Xenopus tropicalis: one gene and its partners. The protein of the gene in region 2 purifies or fractionates together with the protein of the main gene of each other region. This does not show direct contact. Links are inferred from orthologs where the notes say so. Each region holds a gene or a part of one and is shown on either strand. Other genes may lie near its edges.

Region 1 (4,382 bases), on a different chromosome or scaffold from region 2:
AATTTAATTAAACATTAATGTAAAACAATATCAGTACAGGTATGGAATCGGTTATCCAGAAACACATTACCAACACATTCGAATTATGGAAAGGCCAGCTCACATAGACTCCATTATAAGCAAATAATTCTAATTTTTAAAAATGTATTTCCTTTTTCTCTGTAATAATAAAACAGTACCTGTACTTGATCCCAACTAAGATATAATTACCCCTTATTGGGGGCAGAACAGCCCTATTGGGTTTATTTCATGGTTAAATGATTCCCTTTTCTCTGTAATAATAAAACAGTACCTGTATTTGATCCCAACTAAGATATAATTACCCCTTATTGGGGGCAGAACAGCCCTATTGGGTTTATTTAATGGTTAAATAATCTTTTAGTAGACTTAAGTTGTGGAGATCCAAATTACAGAAAGACCCCTTATCCAGAAAACCCAAGGTTCCGAGCATTCTGGATAACGGGCCCCATACCTGTACCATGTTGTTGCACCAATATTTCTTTTCATTCAAACACAAAACATTAGCTTTGACTGGTTTAATGTAGTTATTAAAATAAAACCGAATAACCGGCTGCTATGAGTTAATGCCCTTTGGCCAGTTTTCCCCCATACTAGTAAAGGGGCAGCTAGCAGCTAGCAGGTAGCTATAAACTTCAGTATCCATAGTCCATAATGAGGCAAACAGTACAGGAAAGAAGCCTATAACTAATAACAGCTTATGGTTGTGCTTAATCATACAGTGCATTCAAGTAGTATCTCTCCAACAATGAACATATTTGCTCTGCCATCCTAATTACAGGCAATTTTAGTTACCCTTTATTATCTATTCCTGTAAGATAGTATCCGCTCTCCCAGCATGCAGTGTTTGATTTCAGGGAATAAAGGTCTCTAGAGAAAGCTGCCATATTACATCACCGCTACCTCCAGGCTACGTCATGAGTGTTGCAGAGAGCTTCAGAGTCAATGGATTCCCGCACGACTATCGGACAGCCGAAACGCCTAATCCCATGTTCCCGGGGGATTTACACAATCCAGCAGCTACCCAATCGCCATAATACCTGTGCTTATAACCCCCTGCACCTGCACCAGCCCTTACCTGTTTCATACGCCCGTCATCATTCCGCACGTCAGTTCCGCTTCGGCCGATACGCAGGCGCAGAAGAGCCTACCGACGCAGCGGCAGACATATTTGTATCGGCTTGTAAAAACCACTCGGGGTGGAAAGCACAGGTTTGAACAACACTCAAATATAGTGACATTTGTTATTTGAACCTTTATAAGCCGTAACTTCCGGTTGTTCACGTCTCACTTATGTTCTTGATGCTTGCATTATTCATTTGAGTCCACTTTAAAGATGGCGGCCACTGGTGAAGGCTGGGGGCGCTTCCGTTCTGACATGCGCAGTAGGTGACGCTGTATTTTTCCCTTGGCTGTGCTATAGATAGGGAGAGAGGCTAAAATGGCCAGTCAGGAGGATCCTGTGCAGAGAGAGATTCACCAGGATTGGGCCAACCGGGAGTACATCGAGGTGATCACCAGCAGCATCAAGAAAATCGCCGACTTCTTGAACTCATTTGGTGAGAGTGGGGGCGGCGCTGTGTCCTGCAGGGGATCCTTCCTAGGGCGTAGGGCCGGCAGGGCTGGGCACTGTATGCCTGGGCGATGGGCAGCGCCTGTGTATAGGATGCCAGCCTCTCCATCCTGCCCTGTTAACTGCAGCTCCCAGAATCCTCTGGGCCTTGTGCATCCCAGTAGCTGTACAGCCTCCAGTGTGACAGTGTCGCCTTGTTATTATCTTACCAATGGCCATGGTGCCTACACTATATAACCATGGCTTGCTACTCCATTACTTGTGTCAAACAAAAGCAATTTATACACTGTACTATATAGATCCCAGCATGTACATTGCAGTGGGTAATTACACTATATATAGAGTGAAGTGTAAGAGTGAAAGCAGCATTTACACTGGGGGTGTAATTAGTAACCTTATTGGGGATATTGCCCATAGTAACCGTCAGATCTTTGCTTTTGTTCTCTAACTGTTCAAATCTAATTGCTGATTAGTTGCTATGGGCAACATCCCTAGTGATGTTGGCTTTCACTCTGTAATAAATAAGCCCCATATGTCTATGAGCAGGGAGAGGGGGAGAATGAAAGCAGCATGTTACACTGTGTGAGTGAAAGCAGGTACATTACAGTGAGCAGGGGATGGAGGGCCCGCACAGGCTGTAGGAATGATGCAGTGATCATGGTGATGGTGGCTAATGGACCTGCCTCTAATGCTTCTTTCCTCACATCCACTAGTAATTGGGTCACTGGGATGCACTGAATCCAGGATTCTGCCAAGATTCTCACACAAATCTATGCCTCTCGCCAAACCTAATTCTTAAAATCAGGTGATTTTTTTTTTTTTAACCCTCAATTGTCCAATTGTCAGTTCGGTATTCAGCCAAATTGTTCACGAAGGATTTGGGGTTCTGCCAAATCCCCAAAATAATGGATTTGGTGCATCCCTATTGGCCACCTTTTCTAAGCAGTACATGAATCTGCATGGTTGAACCACAGAGTACATCCTGGTTGGCAGTATTTGCAAATTAGGGACACTTTGTTGCTGGGTGCCTTTGCCTTATTGTGCCACATCTGCCTCATGTGTGAAGCATAGTGCCATGGTTAAAGGGACCGTATGCCTTCTTTTTAAACATTGGATAATATATAGGTCTTGTGCTGAACATACTTTTGACTGTAAGGAAACGTTTATGGTTTTTTGTAAGCACCGCAGAATTAGAAATTGGGACTAATTTCACTAATATTGAGAGTATTGGTTGACATTGCTCTTTAGGACCAGGAAGGAAACTGTGATTTTAGTTCCATTTTCTAATTTTGCCATGTTTAGTGCAAGAAATAACAAAATCAGAGACAGGGCCACTCCTGCAATGAGGCAAGGCACACCACACATGGTGTGATCGGCCAGTTACCAGGGGTGGCAAAAAGCTGCCTCTGGTAAGTGGTCTGTGCACTAGTGATTCCGCCACCCATTTGACCCACTGATGCTGTAGTTGTAAGTGCAGGGTGGGAAAGGGGAGGCGGCGTCAGGGCTGCTCCCTCAGAAGGATTATGGGATTGGGAGGATGCAGGCTGAGGGCAGCCGACTACTTTATTTAAGTCTCAAAGTAGATCTGCAGAGGAACAGGGGGCTGGGCTTAGGGAACTGTTCCAAACCATATTAAAAATCATAAAAAAAACTGCATATTTTTTTAATTGATGTATTGCTTGAAATTATGTTTTCTTTTTAAAAAGCTTAAATTGTGTTTGGGTGGAGTTCCCCTTTTTTTTGCCCAGTTCCTGCAAATGTAGTAGTTCCTGTTAATGCAATGCATGTAAGTCTATCGGTATCTTTTATTTTTTGTTACACTGCAAATATAGGCAGTGCTCTCTATGGCTGACTTGTGAAATGCGTTGGTCAGTGGTAACCTTATACTCTGCTTTCTTCAAGATATGTCTTGTCGCTCACGACTGGCAACCCTAAATGAAAAGCTGACTGCATTAGAAAGAAGAATTGAGTATATAGAAGCAAGGGTATGTAATGTTATATGTTTTGATTTGGTGGGGGGCACAATGTCACATGGGGCATACTGATATTTTGTTTGTCACTAGGAAGCAACCATGGCATTAATAGGAACCTTTTATAGATCACCCTTGACCTGATATGACTTGTACATGCTGACCTTGTGACTTCCTGTGATGTAACCCCCAGAAATCTGTGGGTCTTTTAGCCACTGAAACAAATAGCATTGATTGAAACACCCTATGTGACCATCTAATGGAAATATATAATGGAGATATATTGCCCAATACTTTTGCCCCCACTGTTAATTTACTGGCTGGCTGACATGCACTGAATGCCACCTGAACTCTCCATATGCCGGCTATGTGTAAAGCCCCCTTTTTGCTTTTAAGCAAGCTTCATGTTGGATAAGCAAGAGAATCAAATGCTTATTCACAATGAACTAATAAAGCTCTTCTGTGCCAAAGGGCACATGTACCATCTCCCCGGCTGTCGGTACAGCAGCAAATGCCTTGAGACTGAGGGGTGGCTATTGGAGAAACCATCTGCATATCAAATAAATCCTTGGCCCTCTGCCAGTCAGCTTCAGCAATTTGCTCTTGAAAATGGCAGCTTAAAAATTACTTAAAGGGCCACTATACCCGCTAGCAGAATGGTGCTCACAAAAGGGCGTATAGCATTATATTAACTCGCTGTGCTAGCTGTGACAACCTTGGGCATTGTACCCTTATGGCCACATCCCAGTAATATATGCAGCCCTAGACACACACACACACTCTGGCTTCATGTATTTGTATTGTAACACAAGTGGAGGCCT
Region 2 (3,767 bases):
TGTTCTAAAGTCCATCCCTCTGGCTCTTGTGAGGCACTGCTTACACACAAACCAAGGGCACACATTCATGCTAGTACAGCAGCCAGTGTATGGACATTGTTTGGAGTTGTATTTTATTTTTTTAATCCCACACATCTTCCTGTAACATCTAGAAGCTGCGTTATTTCCTGTCAGCTGATCACACAAGGTGGCTCAAAGTAAAAGATGCAACTGGGTAATATCAACTTCTAATTATAAAGCAGCTGAATAAATTTGTATGGCTGGACACTTAATAGCATATAAATGATCTAATATGGTTCAGAACTTCTAGTTCTCCTTTAATGCATGGCAATTCTAGTTATCTCAGTAGATCTGCAAATGTCCATTCAAGCCATATTGTCATTTCATCATAAAATCTGCATTCAAAAAACAAAGGAGGCAGACAGGTCTTGTGGTGCGTAAGGCCAGAAACTGCTGTGACCATCCCTTTAAAGGGCGACCAACAAAAAAAATGGTTCCATTTACTTTATACAAATGCCTGGAGATTTAGGCTTTGGGGCTGTAAGCAGGGTGGAACTTGTTGCCGCCATATAAAATAATCAAACACCAGAAGATAATTATATATACACCCCTTGATGGTCTGTCAGACCCACAACAACCATTTTATGTATATGGAGCCATTTTATTTGTATTAATGGACCTTTAAGGGTAAACTTTTATTTATAACATGCAACGTGTAGTACCAACAGACTTAGATGCAGTGATTTACACACCCATTTAAACAGACAATTGTGTGAGCATTTCATAACAGTGCAAAATAACTACTTTATTGAAGGCCAAGGCTACTGTAAGTAGTATAATGCAGCCAGTGTACTGTAATACAATTTGCAGTTGGTCTTTTTAATGTGAATACAATAAGTTTGTTTTACAGTTCTCCAGTGAACACTATGCAATTACTTGTGTCACTGACTGAAGGGGGGAAAACATACATTTTACACACATTTATATATCTTTGAGAAAAAAAAAAGTCAACTGCAAAGTTGCTTAGATTACCTACATCTTCTATATACTAAAAGTAATGTGAGAAAAAAAAACTTCATGAAACTATGCTTAATTAGATCTTTAAATAATGTCATGACTGCTGATGGTGAGTGAGAACTGCAGTTGTTCCGGGTTATTAAGGCTTTAGCAGTTAAGGGTTAAGGGACTGTATATACCTATACACAACTTTACTCAGCATGGCCACAATAAACAGGACTTGTGCTGACAATGCATTCTGGCTATACTTTTCATTAATCTAGTAATTAAAAGTTGTGTTGCATTTTATAGGAGCACTCGCCCCCCAACAGGTGTGCAAATGCATATAAGGACCTTTATATAAACAAACCCCTCCCTTGCCTATGCTGAAGCTTTTGAGATAAGGAGCAGTGTATTATACAGAGGGCTTATCTGTGAACTGTTCTCTTTTTTTTTTATTATTATTTCTACCACCTACTACTTCTCAAACAGTGACAAGGAAAAACAAGGAAGAAACATGAATTGAGACAGGAAGTTGGAAAGTTAAAGTGGTTATAGTTTTTGTTCTAGGCAAAAAATAACAAAAACCATAGATATTCCTTAATTAAAATAATAGGCAAAAGATATGTTCAGCACAAGCCCAATTCATTGAGCTCTAGATGAAATGGAAGGGGGGGAGGGGTTATCCTGGAGCTATAAGTATTGATATACAGTATATTGATATTTCATTCTACATGTAACTGATCAAAACATTAACCAGTGACATCTTGCCGTAGCACACAGCACAGACAAACACTGCAGGAAAAGACAAGATAAGAACTAAACAAAAAACAGCATGAGAAAATATATAAAGTTGTTGCATAAAAGATAATTCATGTTGCTATAAGTAATAAAGAAAAGATAGCTGCCCTGTTCTTCCCAGCTTATTTTCTCTTGCAGCCATAACATGCAAACCAGCTGGTAAATCAATTAAGGCTTAAATTAAATATAAATCCTTGAAATAAATGTATGTAAAATAGCTCAGAGCAATTTTACAATTAGCTGAAAATTAATTTTATGACAAAAAGAAAGTCTTGTAATGTGGATCTGCTTTGAAAATGAAGATAGTGAGCAGAGAAGAGGCATCTGACGCTTCTCTGGTCGCTTCGAACCAGAGCAACGTTACAAGACATTCCTTTTCTAACCAAATTAATTTTCAGCTGACTGTAGCCAGTTGGCCAAAATGACCAGCAGGTGGTGGTGTTGTTTAAAATTCATTATATTAGCAGACAATATTTCATCAAACATAAATTTGGCTTCTTTTCAGGTCATGGACAGCCCCTATAGATAGAGTATATATTGGAATTCTGTGTTTCTTTAATCTTTCCAGTACCCCCTTGCTTTAGAAGTAGGTAGATTACAGGATGTTATCCAAGTACAGTTATTCCTCACTAAGCCAATATGTGAGTGTTTTGCCAACATATTTCTATTCCATATTAACATGGATGAAGCCACCATACATGAGTTGTATACATACATGAGTTGCATACAAGGGCAGCATAGGAAGCAGAGAAGCAGCTTACTTGAGTTTTGAGAATACAGAGGCCCGCCGTTGACATGAGGTTGGCCAGAGAACTGAGAAGTCACAGAAGGAGTCCGTCTGTAGCCACCAGAAGAAGCAGAGGAAGTGGTGGAGTTGTGCCGAGAGATCTGCCTGGTCATTGAGCCAAACTGGGAACCCGGTGCTGAGCCTGTGCCCACTGCAAACAATTTGCCAGCAGCGATAGCATAGAAAGCAAGGAAGCATCAGTAAAGCGGTAAGGAAGAACCAAGCTAAGCACTGACATCACCCAAATCGCATTTAGGCTTTAATGCCAAAACACATACAATAAAATTGCTGTGCCACTAGATAATTTCTATTGATGCTATAATCCTCCCAAATTCTGTCAAAGACCTTGGTGACTGTCCAAGGTTCAGCCTGCATGCCACTGACTGATCTATTTGCTTGTTTGGCTTACATGCAGGGTCTGACTGGGTTGATTCACAACCCAGAAATCTAGTCTAAAACTCAGAATGTTCCATCCTGCCCAATAAAATTAAATTGGGCAGTTGCATTACTTTGGACCTATTAGTGAACAGATGCAAAGACAATTTGTTCAGAAACAACCCACTGACGCAACAAGAGGCATGATCTTAAATAATCAAGGAATGGAAAATTACATATTTGTTTTTTTTCTGGCTAAGGCCAAGAGTAGGCCATTCCGATTAGACCCCACTCATTTCCACAATTCCACCTACGCTTAACCACTACTAACCCCAGTAAAAATGCTGTTTCCTGGGGAGAAATTACATCAATTATTTCAACAATCCATCACCAAATAATGAGTTAGATATTAGCAGTTTAGATGCATGCTGTTTGCTAAGTACCTATTCTTGTACACTTTCCTTTGTGCCATCACACACTGAATGTTCTGGAGTTTATACAACTTACATGTATATAAGGAAAACTTCCTCACTACATTCATTATGAAGGTTTTACCTCCACGTATATCTGATGGCAAGGAAGGTCTGCAAGATTTCTCCTACGGAAAGCCTCTTAAATGAATGCTCCAAACAAGCTGATGGATATTGATTGCTCTGACATGACTGCTTGCTTGCTGCTAATCAGTTAATAAACAAGTAAATGGAAATTAAATGTGATGTTCTATGGATTTTCTTCACTCTGTTGACATGCTGCACTAATGGGGAAAATAATTCCCAGCAATACACACTTTTGATACAGGAACACAACC
Region 3 (3,767 bases), on a different chromosome or scaffold from region 2:
ATCAGCTGACAGGAAGTGATGGGCTGTGTGCTCCCTCAGAGATCAGCTGACAGGAAGTGATGGGCTGTGTGCTCCCTCAGAGATCAGCTGACAGGAAGTGATGCAGCTCTAACTGTAACAGGAAGTAGTGTGAGAGCAAAAGGCAGAACTGCCCATTCATTGGCTGATGGGGCCTAGCATGTATGTGTGCCTTGGCTTGTTTGTGTGCACTGTGAATCCTATGATCCCAGGGGGAGGCCCTTAATTCTTAAAATGGCGGTTTCCTATTTAGGATTACCCAAGCGCACATACTGCTAAATAAGTATATTTCAATGATAATGGTTTTACCCCCCCAAGCTTTATAAAGGTGAGCGCAGTAGGGAAGAAGGAATTACCTGAGACAGTTCTCCCAGTAATCGCTGTGGGTGGGGGGGAGAGAGAGAGTCAGATATAACACAACTGGCACCCAAAGGAGAGCCGCCATATTGCTCTTACACACCCAATGTCTCCATAACATCCACAGGCCAAGACACTCCCACCTGGGAAACCAAAAGCCCCAGCAACCCAGGGGGATTGAAAGCCACATCCTCTCTGAGAAAGGTGTGGCCCCAGGCCCCCCCAAAGGCCCAAATGAACGAACAAAAGAGGCACACAGGGAATTCTGGGAAGGGACAGACATGCAAACACAGCACACAGGGAATTCTGGGAAGGGACAGGCATGCACACACAGGGAATTCTGGGAAGGGACAGGCACGCACACAGACAGATATACAGGTATGTACCATTAAGGAGAACACACAGAAGGAATAGGGAGGCTAAAGGAAAAGCAACTTTGAGTCAGTGCAAAGGTAGAAGTGAATGATCAGAGGGGGCACTCGGGGAAGTGGTACCTGGAAGATCTCAAACTCCTCCTTTGGCATCAGAAGCTACAGACAGACACAATCAGCACTAACACACAGCTTGGCAATATAATGGGGGCAGATTAATCAACGTGTGACATTAGAGGCTGGGCTGTGTGTGTGCCGGGGGCACCATATCAGGTGGTACTGACCCAGGCGCTAGATGGTACCTGGATTGTGTGCGTGTACGCGGCTTCCATTGGCTTTGCTGACTGATCTTGTGGCTTCATTGCTACCAAAATATTGTTTGGCACAAAACCGACTGCCCCACTCGAGCTCCGGACTTTCCACCACTGCTTCTTATCATCGAGGACCTGGGGAAGTCACACAAGAGTCACATGTTTGCACTTTACTCTACAGGATTTGGGGGCTTCACTAAAAGCAGAACAACAGATTCCCCCCTTGGGATTTTTCTGGCTCCACCCAAGAGGAAAAATCAGTAGCTGTTAGGCTCCTCCTACATGAGGCAGATTCTCGGGGTGCGGATAAACTCCGCAAGCAAGGGACAGACACTGCTGTGCAAAGCAATTGGCAGAAATGCCTTTTTATTAGGAGGATGTTCTCTATACAAATAAAACAGCTTTTGGGTGGAGTTCCCCTTTAATGCCACTAGGAAGCAAACAACAAGCCATACAGTGGCCACACATTACCTCCAAGACATCATCTTTAAGGACAGAGAGTTCGTTTGAGTTCCGGGCCACAAAGTCGTACTTGCACAAGGCGTATCTCTGGGCCTCCACTTGGTCGCGCTCCTCAAAATTCCTTCAATAAAAGAAGAGGTTTAACTGAGCCAATAGGAAAGATCAGAACAGTTCATCACACTGTGTGCCCTGCTCATTTCTTAGCTGCTTGTTTATGGCAATGCCCAGATAAACAGGGGGGCCCGGGGCACTATATAGAGCACTAGATGTATGCTGTAGGCTTCCTACCATTCCTCAATCATCTTCCAGACACCCCCAACATGAGCCACCAAACAAGCCCAATCATTCCTCTGTCAGAAACCCCCAACATGAGCCACCCAACAAGCCCAATCATTCCTCTAGCAAAATCCCCCAACATGAGCCACCCAGCAAGCCCAATCATTCCTCTAGCAAACCCCCCCAACATGAGCCACCCAGCAAGCCCAATCATTCCTCTAGCAAAACCCCCAACATGAGCCACCCAACAAGCCCAATCATTCCTCCAGCAAAATCCCCCAACATGAGCCACCCAACAAGCCCAATCATTCCTCTAGCAAAACCCCCCAACATGAGCCACCAAACAAGCCCAATCATTCCTCTAGGAAAACCCCCCAACATGAGCCACCCAACAAGCCCAATCATTCCTCTAGCAAAACCCCCCAACATGAGCCACCAAACAAGCCCAATCATTCCTCTAGCAAACACCCCCAACATGAGCCACCCAACAAGCCCAATCATTCCTCTAGCAAACACCCCCAACATGAGCCACCAAACAAGCCCAATCATTCCTCTAGGAAAACCCCCCAACATGAGCCACCCAACAAGCCCAATCATTCCTCTAGCAAACACCCCCAACATGAGCCACCCAACAAGCCCAATCATTCCTCTGTCAGAAACCCCCAATATGAGCCACTAAACAAGCCCAATCATTCCTCTAGCAAAACCCCCAACATGAGCCACCCAACAAGCCCAATCATTCCTCTAGCAAACACCCCCAACATGAGCCACCCAACAAGCCCAATCATTCCTCTAGCAAACACCCCCAACATGAGCCACCCAACAAGCCCAATCATTCCTCTAGCAAACACCCCCAACATGAGCCACCCAACAAGCCCAATCATTCCTCTAGCAAACACCCCCAACATGAGCCACCCAACAAGCCCAATCATTCCTCTAGCAAACACCCCCAACATGAGCCACCCAACAAGCCCAATCATTCCTCTGTCAGAAACCCCCAACATGAGCCACCCAACAAGCCCAATCATTCCTCTAGCAAATACCCCCAACATGAGCCACCCAACAAGCCCAATCATTCCTCTGTCAGAAACCCCCAACATGAGCCACCCAACAAGCCCAATCATTCCTCTAGCAAAACCCCCCAACAAGAGCCACTAAACAAGCCCAATCATTCCTCTAGCAAAACCCCCAACATGAGCCACCCAACAAGCCCAATCATTCCTCATCACAGTATGGGTCAATCATCTGAGTCAGCAGCAAGAGTCCCCCCTCATTCCCAATCATATCATTACGAGGCTCACAAACCAATAATACATACAGTGCATCATTTCTCTGCACAGTCCTGCCCAATGAATAAGCCAGAGAGTTCCACTCTTTACTCAGCAAGATCCACTTTAGAAATACTGGGTTCTGAATCCTTTTTATTCTGCAGCGTGGTTCTTTAGAACTTTTTAAATTAGGTTAAGTGACAATGTTCTGATGGGGCCCAATAAAGTCTCTCCTCGCTATTCTCTACCAGGTGACACAGAACCCTCTCTCCTACACCTGCAGCTCTGGCCCAACCAATGGTCTCATTCTCACATTCTGCCCCCTGCAGCTGATTTCTGCCCCCTATAGACTTCTCTCTCTGCCCCAGAGACCCATGCATCTGCCTAATCCCACATGCCAAATGGCGCCTCTCTCTTTTGGCCCCAGGGCCGGGCTGCCTCTCCCAGGTCCAATACCCTCCTGCAGCTGAATGTAGCCCCCCGACTCTCAATAACCTGGGGGGCCTGCTGATACATATGGAGTCACTTACTGATCTGCAAATAAGCCAACGAGAAACCACAATGGTAGGAAATATTTTTATTGACAAAATGTATGCATTATATAATATATATATCTCTAAGATATGATCAAGTCTCTGGTAAATTAATTATTTTAGGGTTAGATTTCTATAATGTTCATGCAAATGTCTTTAATAAATTAACCT
Region 4 (3,767 bases), on a different chromosome or scaffold from region 2:
AGACCAACTAACTCAACAAATAAGGGCTAGAAATAAGCAGCGAATAAGTACATGAGTGCTACAGGAGGCATAATGACAGCCCCTTAACACACCATACACCTGTGCCAAGCACATGCACTTTGCTACTATACAGAAAATCCAAGTTCCCTGGCACAACTGGAAGTGCATCTGCCGACACTTAATGTAGTAGCACTGATTCTAGAAGCACTGTGAGCTTTGGGCACTAATAACATACATTAATAAAAAAATTCCTATGGTTTTATTTGTAAATGTAATTGCTATCAAAAGTAGTATTTCCTTATCTCTTTCAGTCATTCCTCCTGCAAATCTGTTCATCAGCTGGATATTGCTTCAGAACCAGAAACATATTTGCAATTACACTTAAAATTACTTTAAAACCATTAAAAATGTTTAACTCATGTGAAAGTTGCTTACAATTATATTTTTCATTATGCAAAAGGTTTTGGGTAGACATCTCCCTTTAAATACTGCTGTGTTAAAATTTACATTAAAATGTAGAAACCTACCCAGAGTGTCCTTTAAATTTTTAACAAGAGATCCTTTTTTTAAGCTGTTCTTCCTCTCCACGTAGTTTGATGGCACGTATCCAGTTTTGTTGGCAGTGTTTCTTACCCTCCACCAGGTTTTGGAGTCATCAAGTAGCCACAGGCGTTCATTTTTTCTAATATCAAGTTCTTGGTCCTGTTGTGCCGTATAATCCCACTTGGCAATAACAATGACTTCCTCTGTCATCTTTCATGGAGTCAATCTGCCAATAAAGACAATAAACATTTTATTACAGTATTAAAGTGCTATATAACTACAACCAATACTTAATAAAAGACTTTGTACAATGTACAAAGTACATTGTAATAAGTATTAAAAACGGTTTAATGAATGGTAATGTTAGTGATGCCAAATTTCTTTTAAAAATATTGTTAAAGGGTAAGTAAACATTTTATTCAAAGTTCTACACTTCCCGTTTAAATGTACATGTCTCATACTGAGTACTGTAAGAATTTGCATTCACGGCAAACCTATTATTATCCTTTATTTATATGCAGCCACAACTTATAAGTACTTTACAGAGATTATTCATCATTGACAGCCCCCGATGTTCAGTTGGATCAGTTTTAGTAGTAAGTTCCCAAGTGTAAATCAAACTTAGGACCTCAAAGCAGCAAGGCAGGAGTTCCAAGATCTAAGCCACCATGCAGGTCTATGACTAAATACGCCTAAATACTATAAATATTTAGATAAAACCTATAATATGTCATTAAAGGAGAAGGAAAGTTTCACTCACTGGGGAAGCGGGTATCAGGTAATGACTTACCTGATACCTCAGGCTAGTGCCCCCTTACTCTTCATTGAGCTTTATGGAGCAATTCTTTTCCTGCTTATTCTTTCTTGGTGCAAGTGCACATGTGCAGTAGTGTAAGAAGTACAACTCTACTATGCATGGTCAGCCCCGGGGGAATGAATAAAGAAGCAGTGGAAGAAGAGGAACGCTCTGTGGTGCTTGTTGAGAAGTACCCCAAGCTGGTGCAGTTTTCTGCTAACAGGAGCAATGACCCAGGGTATCGGGTAAGTGATTACAATCACTGGGAGGGTACCTAACATTTGGTACCCCCAGTGCACAGAGGCGTTCCTTTGTAAAAGAAAACTTGTCTCTAATAATAGTTAGGCTCAATAGTTAACTACCATTATAATCATAATTAACCTTTTTTTCAAAGTATGTACAGTATTTATGATCCATCCAAACCTCACCTTGTTGAGATTTGCTGAACAGCAATAAACCGGTGTCAAAGTACCCTAGACATTGCATAAGCTTTTGATCTAAAGGTTTTTTCAAACACTAAGTTAGAATTAAGGTCATTTCAGACTGTGCATTATTAAAAGAGAGTGTGTCTAGACTGCTATAATGATGTGTTAGTTAAGCCATATTGAATCTACTCTAAATTAGGCTCTGCTAAATAAAATATGATCAGCAAAAAGTACACAGCTTTGTCTTTTGGTAAAAAAAAAATGATTTTAACATTTGTAGCTTTTGGCAAATCTGTTGTACAGGTATGGGATCCATTATCTGAAAAGCAGTCATCCAGAAATCTCTAAATTACAGGAAGACCATCTTTCATAGAATTCATTATGTGTTCCTATCTTATTATAAACTCCTTATAGCTTTAGAATCATTAAGAAATATGCATTTAAATACACTAAGGGGGTATATTTATAACATTGTGCATAATGACTGTCCACAGATAAGGGGTATGAAATGTAGAGGACCATAAAACCAGCATGGACATAGTTCTGTACACAAATACTTAAACATATTTTACATTTAAAACCTGCTACAATAAACAGGTATAGGACCTGTTATCCAGAATGCTCGGGACCAAGGGTATTCCGGATAAGGGGTCATTCCGTAATTTGGATCTCTATACCTTAAGCCTACTAAGAAATCAATAAAACATTAATTAAACCCAATATGATTATTTTACATCCAGTAAGGATTAATTATATCTTAGTTGGGATCAAATACAAAGCACAGTTTTATTTTTACAGAGAAAAAGGAAAATCAATTTTAAAAATCTGAATTATTTGATTAAAATGGGGTCTATGGGAGACAGGCTTTCCGTAATTCGGAGCTTTCTGGATATCGGGTTTCTGGATAAGGGATCCCATACCTGTATACCCACATTCAAAGTACAACTTTGCAATTATGCAGATATTGACATGGTGTACCATAGCACTAGAGTGGAGATGCTTAATGTATTCTAAAGCTTCTTTATACACAAACCCTTTAAATATAACCTTAATTACATATATTTTTAAGCATTTTTATTCTGGTACAGGACCTGTTATCTAGAATGTTTAGGACCTAGGTCTTTCTGGTTAAGGGATCTTTTTTTAATTTGCATCACAAAATACATTAAACCATTAAATAAACCCCATAGGATGGTTTTGCCTCCAATAAGGATAAAGTTTTTCTTAGTTGGGATCAAGTACAAAGTACTGTTTTATTATAACAGAGAAAAAGAGAACCATTTTTAACAAACTGAATTATTTGCTTAAAATTAGGTCTATGGCTATGGAGATGGCCTACCATTAATTCAGCGCTTTCTGGATAATGGGTTTCCAGATAACGGATCCAATACCTGCAGCAGAAGCTATGAAATATCTTACTGCTTTCCCCTATATTTTTCTTTTCCTTTTATTTACACAGCACTAACATGTTATGCAAAACATTACATTGTTAGTTATTCACTCTAGTGCCTGCTCCAGTGAAACTAAGGGCAAGAACCAACGGAGCGGCGGTGGAGTCGCCTGTGATAGATTTCTGCTATCGCAGGCGACAAACTGTCCCTGAAAAAAGGCTTTCCACCAGCAACAACAGCAGTCCTGGTCGAAAGCCCTTTTGCATCGCTTCTTTATCCGAACTCCTGCGAAGTTGCCAGCAGGAGGAAACTTTGCGCAACTTCTGATTATCTAAGTCAGTGCTGTCCAACTTCTGTGGTACCAAGGGCTGGAATTTTTCTTGCCTACATGGTGGAGGGCTGATAATGGAAGCCAGTTTTGACCACTCCCCTTTTTTAAACCACACCCACTTCAAACTGCACCCATGCTATCACAAGAGCTTTTAAGACCATCCCCACATTAATGGTGGCAACACAGCAAAAACCCAATGGTTGGTGCTCACTGAAGGGATATCACCCTTAATTTATATATGAAAGAATTATATTATGTCATACACTTAAATCGATATGCCT
Region 5 (3,767 bases), on a different chromosome or scaffold from region 2:
ATATTAGCTGAGTTAACCTTAGAATTATGAAAGTTCTACACACACCTGCAGCAGAGAAGACATTACATTCGCTTTTGGTGTTTCTGCTGAAACATGCTTACAATGGTATATCTGGGACTAAATAACCCCTACAGCCAGATTGAATGACAAAAATACTTCTTTCCTTTGAACTTGCATTGTATACAAAAGAAAGTAGTATTTTTATACAATATATCCATATCAGACATGTCGAATCTACAGGTATTGATAAACGACAGTTCTCAGTATCCCCCAAGGCTGGAAGGTGTAATTCTTAGTGGGTGAGTAGGCTGTGTTTCTTACAATGCAGGATCAGAGGACAAGAACTTTGTGATCCAACAACATGGAAAACTGACAAATTGGTACTCACCACTTCATGTCCGGATCGAACAGCTGATGGGTCTGTTGCTGCTTCTCCTAATAGATAAAAAGGCATAAAATATATATTATTTAAAGGTGAGTCAATATAGATGGGTCAATGCTATCCCAGGAGTCAGAAGGTCAGGTATATTTGGGGGGAACAGTTATTTGCTGTCCAAGATTGTCTAGGCTCTATGGCTAAATGGTTGATACACTAATGATTTCCTGTATCTGTAACTTTTCATTGAGTGAAGTGGGACTCTAAACAATGGGCATAAACCAAAAAAGTCTGACAACCACTGCTCTAGGTTAGTGCTGTATTTCATTTAACAGAAATATAGTTGTACTTTATTCTATAGTACATGAATCCTTATGCATTTATGACACATGAAACTCAAAAACTCAGCCTCACCTGGAACTTTTAATGTTTTCTGTTGCAGCTGAGGACTCCCAGACTCTTGTACAAACTGCTGTGGTTTGTCATGACGCTTGATCTCACTATATAATGGTTCCTGTGGGTACTTAAAATTATAACATAAAGTTATTAAAATGGAAGGGCTAATCTAGGGACACCATAAACCACTTTTAATAAGGGATGGTAGTAAAAGGTATACCCGGTGTATTTCAACGTAGCTTTCGGCACAGCCGCACAGCCCTGCGCTGTGTTTCCCTTATTAAAGGTGGTTATTGGTATCTATAGGCAAAACTAACACCTGCTTCTAAAGCAGCAAGAACGATGCCACCACCTCGAGGGCAGGAGCACTGCTACCCCTGGCCAAGCATTAATGGGTATTACAAGCATATGGGGTTAGGTGCTTAGGCTGCACACCCTGTGCTAGAGCGCATAGAAACTATTGGTTATTTATGGGAACCTACAAGCAAGCATATCGTGGGCTCATTTACTGAGAGGCAGCAGCTTCTAAGTTTATATTAAATTGCATGTTTGCTTTGAACATGTTTTTCTCCATAGATCAAGTTTACCTTAGCACAAGGATTGTTTGCACCTATGTGTGTTTATGTAACATGATTGCCACTAATACATTGCAACAGGGACATTCTACACAACACTTAGTGCAATGTGCTAGTGCAAACAGGCACAGAAGAGTGCTAGGTAGGTTCCTAGACCCCTTAGTAAATGAGTCTACATCACCTCCACGGGGCTTTAAAAGCGAGCACCAGCAGTCCTTCTTTATTACAGACTAAGCCACATTACCTGTGGTGTCTCAATTGACTGTTGCCCCTGATCAGTTGAACTGACAATGATTTTGGTCAAAGATGAGCGAGGTGGCTTTACCATTGGTTTACGTTGTGCTTCTCTCTCCAGGATTTCTGCTGGGGTAACATACTGTGATGTCGGCTGCCTCCACTGGCCTAGCGGGGTGAATGTATTCGGGCCAGGTGCACCCTGGGCAATCTGCTCCATATTGTTCCTGCACAAACAAATGCTTGCATTAGCTGGTTGTGATGAATATATATGTATATTTTGCCGTCTCAAGGATATTTAAAAGCTATGGGGAAAACAGCCCATAGTTGTACTAGGCCATAGAAAGAATTCAATCTAGTTGCCTCACCTTAGTGCTTCAGGACGTTTTGCATTAACACCTGACTGAAAATCAGACACAGCACTGTTGATGTCTTCCTTGATTAAATGTGCCTATAACATAAAAATAAAACATGTAAATGCCTGCACAATAAATATGCAGCCTCAGTCGGTGTTTATGGAGCTGTCTTACCGCAACATAATCAGACTGGAAGAAATACACATCAGGTTTTGGCTGATATGTGTCCTGGCACACCAGTATCAACAGAGGGTGGTTCCTTCTCTCTGGCAGAACTGTATCACATCGCTGGATGGCAGATAAGGGAAATTCTTCTAGTTCCTCCTGCAAAATGTCAAAATAGATATGTAGTTACCCTTTTAAATACACCTGTCTAAATCTGAAGAACAGCAAAAATCTGCAATAATAATTTGCTATTTGCTTGATTCTGTGCAATGCAATAACAGGCTTCAAGTTTTAATTCTATAAGGGTTTTATGTTATTATTTTCTTGTTACATACAAGCAGATAGTTGTCCCATTGTTGATGTGCTTAGTAAAGGTATCCCACTTTATAATGAGCCTTTTTAGCAGATATGACTTGTTGAGCTCCCATTATACCCTTTTGTCCGAAGGCAGGCTTTGTATGCTGGGCTATGGTGTAAAATAATGGCATGCTCACTAGTTACATATCCCTCCTTTACAATAAACATTACAACAGAATAGGCTGAGCACGCACGGCAGCCCTACCCCATGTGTAAAACAGCTAGCTAAGACATCCTCACAATAAGGAACCATCAAACGTCTTTAAAACCATGCAGACTAAACAGGCATTGTGTGCACAGAACATTCCTTCCCTGCATTTGTTCATTAGTTCATATCAGTGGGTGCAGACGCATTGACTCGGCTGGGAAATTCTCTTCACAGCACTGGAAGGGCATTCTCTATTTCTAGGCACTAGGGGTCCTGTTATTCCAGCACTTCAGTTATTTCAGCACTAGAATACATTTAAGTCCCCACTGTAACTAATACTTGTTCTTGTAGATAGCAACTACACTAGAGTGTATTAGGCTTAAAAGGGACTAAAAGCATCTACTAGAGAAGTAGCAGAAAGAGAGAATTCACCTTGCTGTTTACATCTACGAGCTTGACCACTGAACTGTTCACTTCTATTAACATTTCTTGGATCCAGATTTTCCCCTTGCTATCCACTGCATTCAGCTTACGGATGGCATCTTCCACGGTGTGCACATCATCATCCTCCCCAATTGTGAATGTAACCAGATGCTGGCAAGGAAACAGAACAAGAAGTATTGTTACATTGAAAGCAAGGAGAGGATGCTTCAGATCAGATAGGTTCCTGCATATCTATGGTCAATTGTGGCTAATATATAATATGGAGCACTTTCTGCAATAAAGATTTAAGCTGGAAATACACATACATGTTTGCTAGCTGGATTATACAGACGGATATTTATGTAGCATGGATATAGGTTAGTTCATCTTTTTGCCAAGTCTTGCATCTGCTGATGCATTATGTTGGCCTTTCCTTCAAATACTATATAGCAGTGCTGTCATACTTATACAGCTCATACTCATACAGCTTGTTGAAGTGCCAATTTTAATTAACATGATGTTGTCATACAGTGAATGCAGCCTCTAAGGCAGGGGTCCCCAACCTTTCTTATTCGTGAGCCACAGTCAAATGTAAAAAGACTCGGAGAGCAACACAAGCACCATAAAAGTTCATGGAGGTGCCAAATAAGGGCTAGGATTGGCTATTAGGGGCCTCTATGCACTCTATCAGCTTACAGGGGCTTTATTTGGTAGTAAATATTGTTTTTATTCATCCA
Region 6 (2,970 bases), on a different chromosome or scaffold from region 2:
ATAGCCTGAGAAAAGCGGATGATCCACCGTGTGTGACTCTGGCCTTAGGGCAATGACACATCGAACTACTAAATAGACAATACTTTGTATCTACAATATTGTCTTTATGTGTGTTTTAGCAGCGTCAATTCTAAGTATTGTTTATGGCAGGGTATTTACTTGCGATTTGTAGCCGCAACTAGTAGTAGCTGGCTATAAGTAGCTCCATGTGTCATAGCCTTTTATCTGGAAACCTATTATCTAAAAAGCTCTTAAATATGCCAAATGCGGTTTCTTTATGTGGCCATACACAAGCAGATTTAAGCTACTGATTTGGGTCATTGAGACCGATTTGGCAGCTTATTTGCTAGTATATATAGGCCTCCCCAACCGATATCTGGCCGCAAAATGGCTAGATGATGCTCAGGCAGGCTTGACTTTCCTGTCAATCAAGGGCCGCATTGGCTCATTGATGCGGTCCTCACTTAGACAGCTACTATCTCCTTTAGTTGCCTTTTGAAACAAACAATTCTTCATTTTGTATTCATTTGCATTTTCTCTGAAAAAAGAAAACAGCACCTTGTAATTGTTAATAAGCTAGCTTCAATCCATGTTTTAAATGTTATTAGCCACAAAAATGTAATTAGCTACCAACGTAGATACAGGAATATGCTAGTTTTGTTACTGTGAAGTAAAAAGCTCTGTTTAACTGTTACAGAGAAAAAGAAAATGGGTCAAAACTGAACTCTTTATGGATAATGGGTTTCCAGATAATAAATCCCACACCAACAATAGATTCTTCAGCTGTACTTGGAAAAATTATGTGATGGAGACATGCCAGGATTAGCACAGGGCTCTAAGATATATTGCAGATATTCTTAATAGATAATATTACCTTGCTCCACAGGTCTGGGTTGCTGCTGCTCATGGCCAGCCAGAGTTTCAGCTGCATTTGTCCCTGTTGCTGGTGGAGCTGGTCTTGTGTCACAGGGTGTACACGCACTTCCATTGCTGTCTCCTGTCGAGATGTCAGAGCTGGTTGATGTTCGTGGTTTTGCTAGTGATGGTTTTCTTGCTACTGGTGGAGGAACTTTACTTGGCTTTCTCTGTAGCGGGGGTTTCTCCTCTGGGCTCCGTGGTATGCCCTGTGATTTAAGTTCTGCCACTAGGTTTCTCTTCAGTGATGCTTCAGCCTCTTCTGATGCTGGAGGCTCAAACACAAACTTTTTTGACCCCCGGGAAAACACAAAACTGGCAGCAGAGGCAGGAGATCTTTGTGCAGAGGGGGTTTGTTCAGGCTCTGCAATTTTCTGTAGTGGCTTTGTGGTTTCTACATTGCTTTCCCCAGCAGGGCTATTAAAGCCAGGTGGGGATCTCAGAGAGAGTGATTTCCGTACAGGTTTTTGCGGTACAGGGACTCCAGAAAATGCCTGGTTTTTGTGCTCCTGTGGACCTCTGACTTGTACAGAGCGCAGTCGAACCATCTGTAGCAGAGAAGGGGTCACAATAGGCAAGTTAGCATCCTCCTTTGGTGTAGCAGCAACAGACTGATTAGGAGCTGCAATCTTTTTCGAAGGGGCACTCACTGGCTTCCATGTGCTTGGCTTGGGCCTGGGACTACCTGGCACCAGTGGGATGGATGATCTAGAGGTTTGTGATAACGGCACAGGAGCCATAGAAACTGTGCTTCTAGATGCAGTTGTGGAAATAGCTGGATCCACTGTGGATATAGATGAGTCCTTAGCAACATCTGATCCTGTAGTGGGCACAGTGCTGGTGGCACAGTTTAGCACTAATGGTGTGGCAACAGTATGTGATTTATAAGTTACAGATGGCACAAGAGGAGCATGTAAAACATCTGTGATAGCTGGCACCCCAAGAAGTGTAGGCTTTCCAAAAGAAGGTGTGGTCTCTGGGAGAGGCAGCACAGAAGTAGGTGTGGTCTCTATGAGAGGAGGCACAGAAGCATGTGTGATCTCTGTAACAGGAGGGACAGACATAGGTGTGGTCTCTGTGAAAGGAGGGACAGACATAGGTGTGGTCTCTGTGAAAGGAGGGACAGACATAGGTGTGGTCTCTGTGAAAGGAGGGACAGACATAGGTGTGGTCTCTGTGAGAGGAGGCACAGCCACAGGTGTGGTCTCTGCGAGAGGAGGCACAGACACAGGTTTGGTCTCTGTCAGAGGAGGCACAGAGGCAGATGCAAATACTGTGGGAATTGTTGCAGAGGCAGGAATGGGCTGTGGGAGCGTAGGCACAAAGGCAGACGATGGATCTATGGAAAGAGGCACAGATACAGGTGTAGACATTGTTGAAGTATCTGCTGAATTAACTTTAGAAACAGAAACAGGAACAGGCTCTGTGGAATGAGTTGAAGATGTAGAATCAGGAGCAAGAAAAGAGAGAGCAGCAGGTTGGGCCTCTGCGGCAACTGAAATGTCCATGTGTTCAATAGGTAACTGAGAAGGCCCCCTGCAACTTTTTGCCTCCTCTTTATATGAAACAATACATATTTTATCTGAATTTAGTAGAGAATCACATGCAGAGTCCAGTGACGGTGGTGGGGGCAGGAAAAGTTCCTCCTCAGGAGGAGGAAAATCTGCCATAGACGTATCTTGTAAATCAGGGACATCAGGAGGAGGTGGTGGCCACAGAATTTCTCTTTGTTCAAAGATTTTCTGAGAGATGAGCATACTCTGTCTTTCTGAGTCAGATTTTCTGGTAGGTGGTGGTGTGGGGTGATGAGAAGGAGGTGGTGATGCATCTGGTGTGCCACTCGGTGTGTTCACAAGTCCACTAATCTTGCTTGGAGGAGGGCATAAAGGAGCAGGCACAATTGGATGTGGAGGTATTAAACCTAGCCTCCCTTGTTCTCCCACTGAAGTACCAACTCTGGCTGGGCTGGCCAAAATAGGAGAAGTAGCTTCAGCAGAAGAGTTAGTGCTTACTGATGATCCCTCCTTTGCTCTCAGCAAACTTGTTCTTTCTGGT

What was found.
Region 1: the proteins of abi1 (region 2) and brk1 purify together in Homo sapiens (co-immunoprecipitation; 3 studies listed by BioGRID and IntAct, with this or other methods). This does not show direct contact. The link is inferred for Xenopus tropicalis from reciprocal best matches to the Homo sapiens genes ABI1 and BRK1.
Region 3: the proteins of abi1 (region 2) and eps8 purify together in Homo sapiens (affinity purification with western blotting; 4 studies listed by BioGRID, with this or other methods). This does not show direct contact. The link is inferred for Xenopus tropicalis from reciprocal best matches to the Homo sapiens genes ABI1 and EPS8.
Region 4: the proteins of abi1 (region 2) and nck2 purify together in Homo sapiens (affinity purification with mass spectrometry; 3 studies listed by BioGRID and IntAct, counting the BioPlex papers as one, with this or other methods). This does not show direct contact. The link is inferred for Xenopus tropicalis from reciprocal best matches to the Homo sapiens genes ABI1 and NCK2.
Region 5: the proteins of abi1 (region 2) and eps8l1 purify together in Homo sapiens (co-immunoprecipitation; 4 studies listed by BioGRID and IntAct, with this or other methods). This does not show direct contact. The link is inferred for Xenopus tropicalis from reciprocal best matches to the Homo sapiens genes ABI1 and EPS8L1.
Region 6: the proteins of abi1 (region 2) and kiaa1522 purify together in Homo sapiens (affinity purification with mass spectrometry; 3 studies listed by BioGRID and IntAct, with this or other methods). This does not show direct contact. The link is inferred for Xenopus tropicalis from reciprocal best matches to the Homo sapiens genes ABI1 and NHSL3.

The regions. Positions count from the first base shown.
Region 1 is NC_030680.2:128,858,383-128,862,764, reverse strand, and holds the start of brk1 (protein BRICK1), read left to right. Parts: upstream 1-1,442; 5' UTR 1,443-1,459; coding exon 1,460-1,577; intron 1,578-3,493; coding exon 3,494-3,576; intron 3,577-4,382. UniProt on the Homo sapiens protein: Involved in regulation of actin and microtubule organization. Part of a WAVE complex that activates the Arp2/3 complex. As component of the WAVE1 complex, required for BDNF-NTRK2 endocytic trafficking and signaling from early endosomes.
Region 2 is NC_030682.2:24,995,669-24,999,435, reverse strand, and holds part of abi1 (abl interactor 1), read right to left. Parts: intron 2,736-3,767; coding exon 2,559-2,735; intron 1-2,558. UniProt on the Homo sapiens protein: May act in negative regulation of cell growth and transformation by interacting with nonreceptor tyrosine kinases ABL1 and/or ABL2. May play a role in regulation of EGF-induced Erk pathway activation. Involved in cytoskeletal reorganization and EGFR signaling.
Region 3 is NC_030679.2:157,886-161,652, forward strand, and holds part of eps8 (epidermal growth factor receptor kinase substrate 8), read right to left. Parts: intron 1,641-3,767; coding exon 1,529-1,640; intron 1,193-1,528; coding exon 1,049-1,192; intron 1-1,048. UniProt on the Homo sapiens protein: Signaling adapter that controls various cellular protrusions by regulating actin cytoskeleton dynamics and architecture. Depending on its association with other signal transducers, can regulate different processes.
Region 4 is NC_030678.2:110,097,269-110,101,035, forward strand, and holds part of nck2 (cytoplasmic protein NCK2), read right to left. Parts: intron 770-3,767; 5' UTR 754-769; coding exon 528-753; intron 1-527. UniProt on the Homo sapiens protein: Adapter protein which associates with tyrosine-phosphorylated growth factor receptors or their cellular substrates. Maintains low levels of EIF2S1 phosphorylation by promoting its dephosphorylation by PP1.
Region 5 is NC_030683.2:104,747,109-104,750,875, reverse strand, and holds part of eps8l1 (epidermal growth factor receptor kinase substrate 8-like protein 1), read right to left. Parts: intron 3,202-3,767; coding exon 3,040-3,201; intron 2,262-3,039; coding exon 2,112-2,261; intron 2,033-2,111; coding exon 1,950-2,032; intron 1,809-1,949; coding exon 1,592-1,808; intron 900-1,591; coding exon 791-899; intron 436-790; coding exon 389-435; intron 1-388. UniProt on the Homo sapiens protein: Stimulates guanine exchange activity of SOS1. May play a role in membrane ruffling and remodeling of the actin cytoskeleton.
Region 6 is NC_030678.2:90,219,387-90,222,356, forward strand, and holds part of kiaa1522 (uncharacterized protein KIAA1522 homolog), read right to left. Parts: coding exon 875-2,970; intron 1-874. UniProt on the Homo sapiens protein: Able to directly activate the TNF-NFkappaB signaling pathway.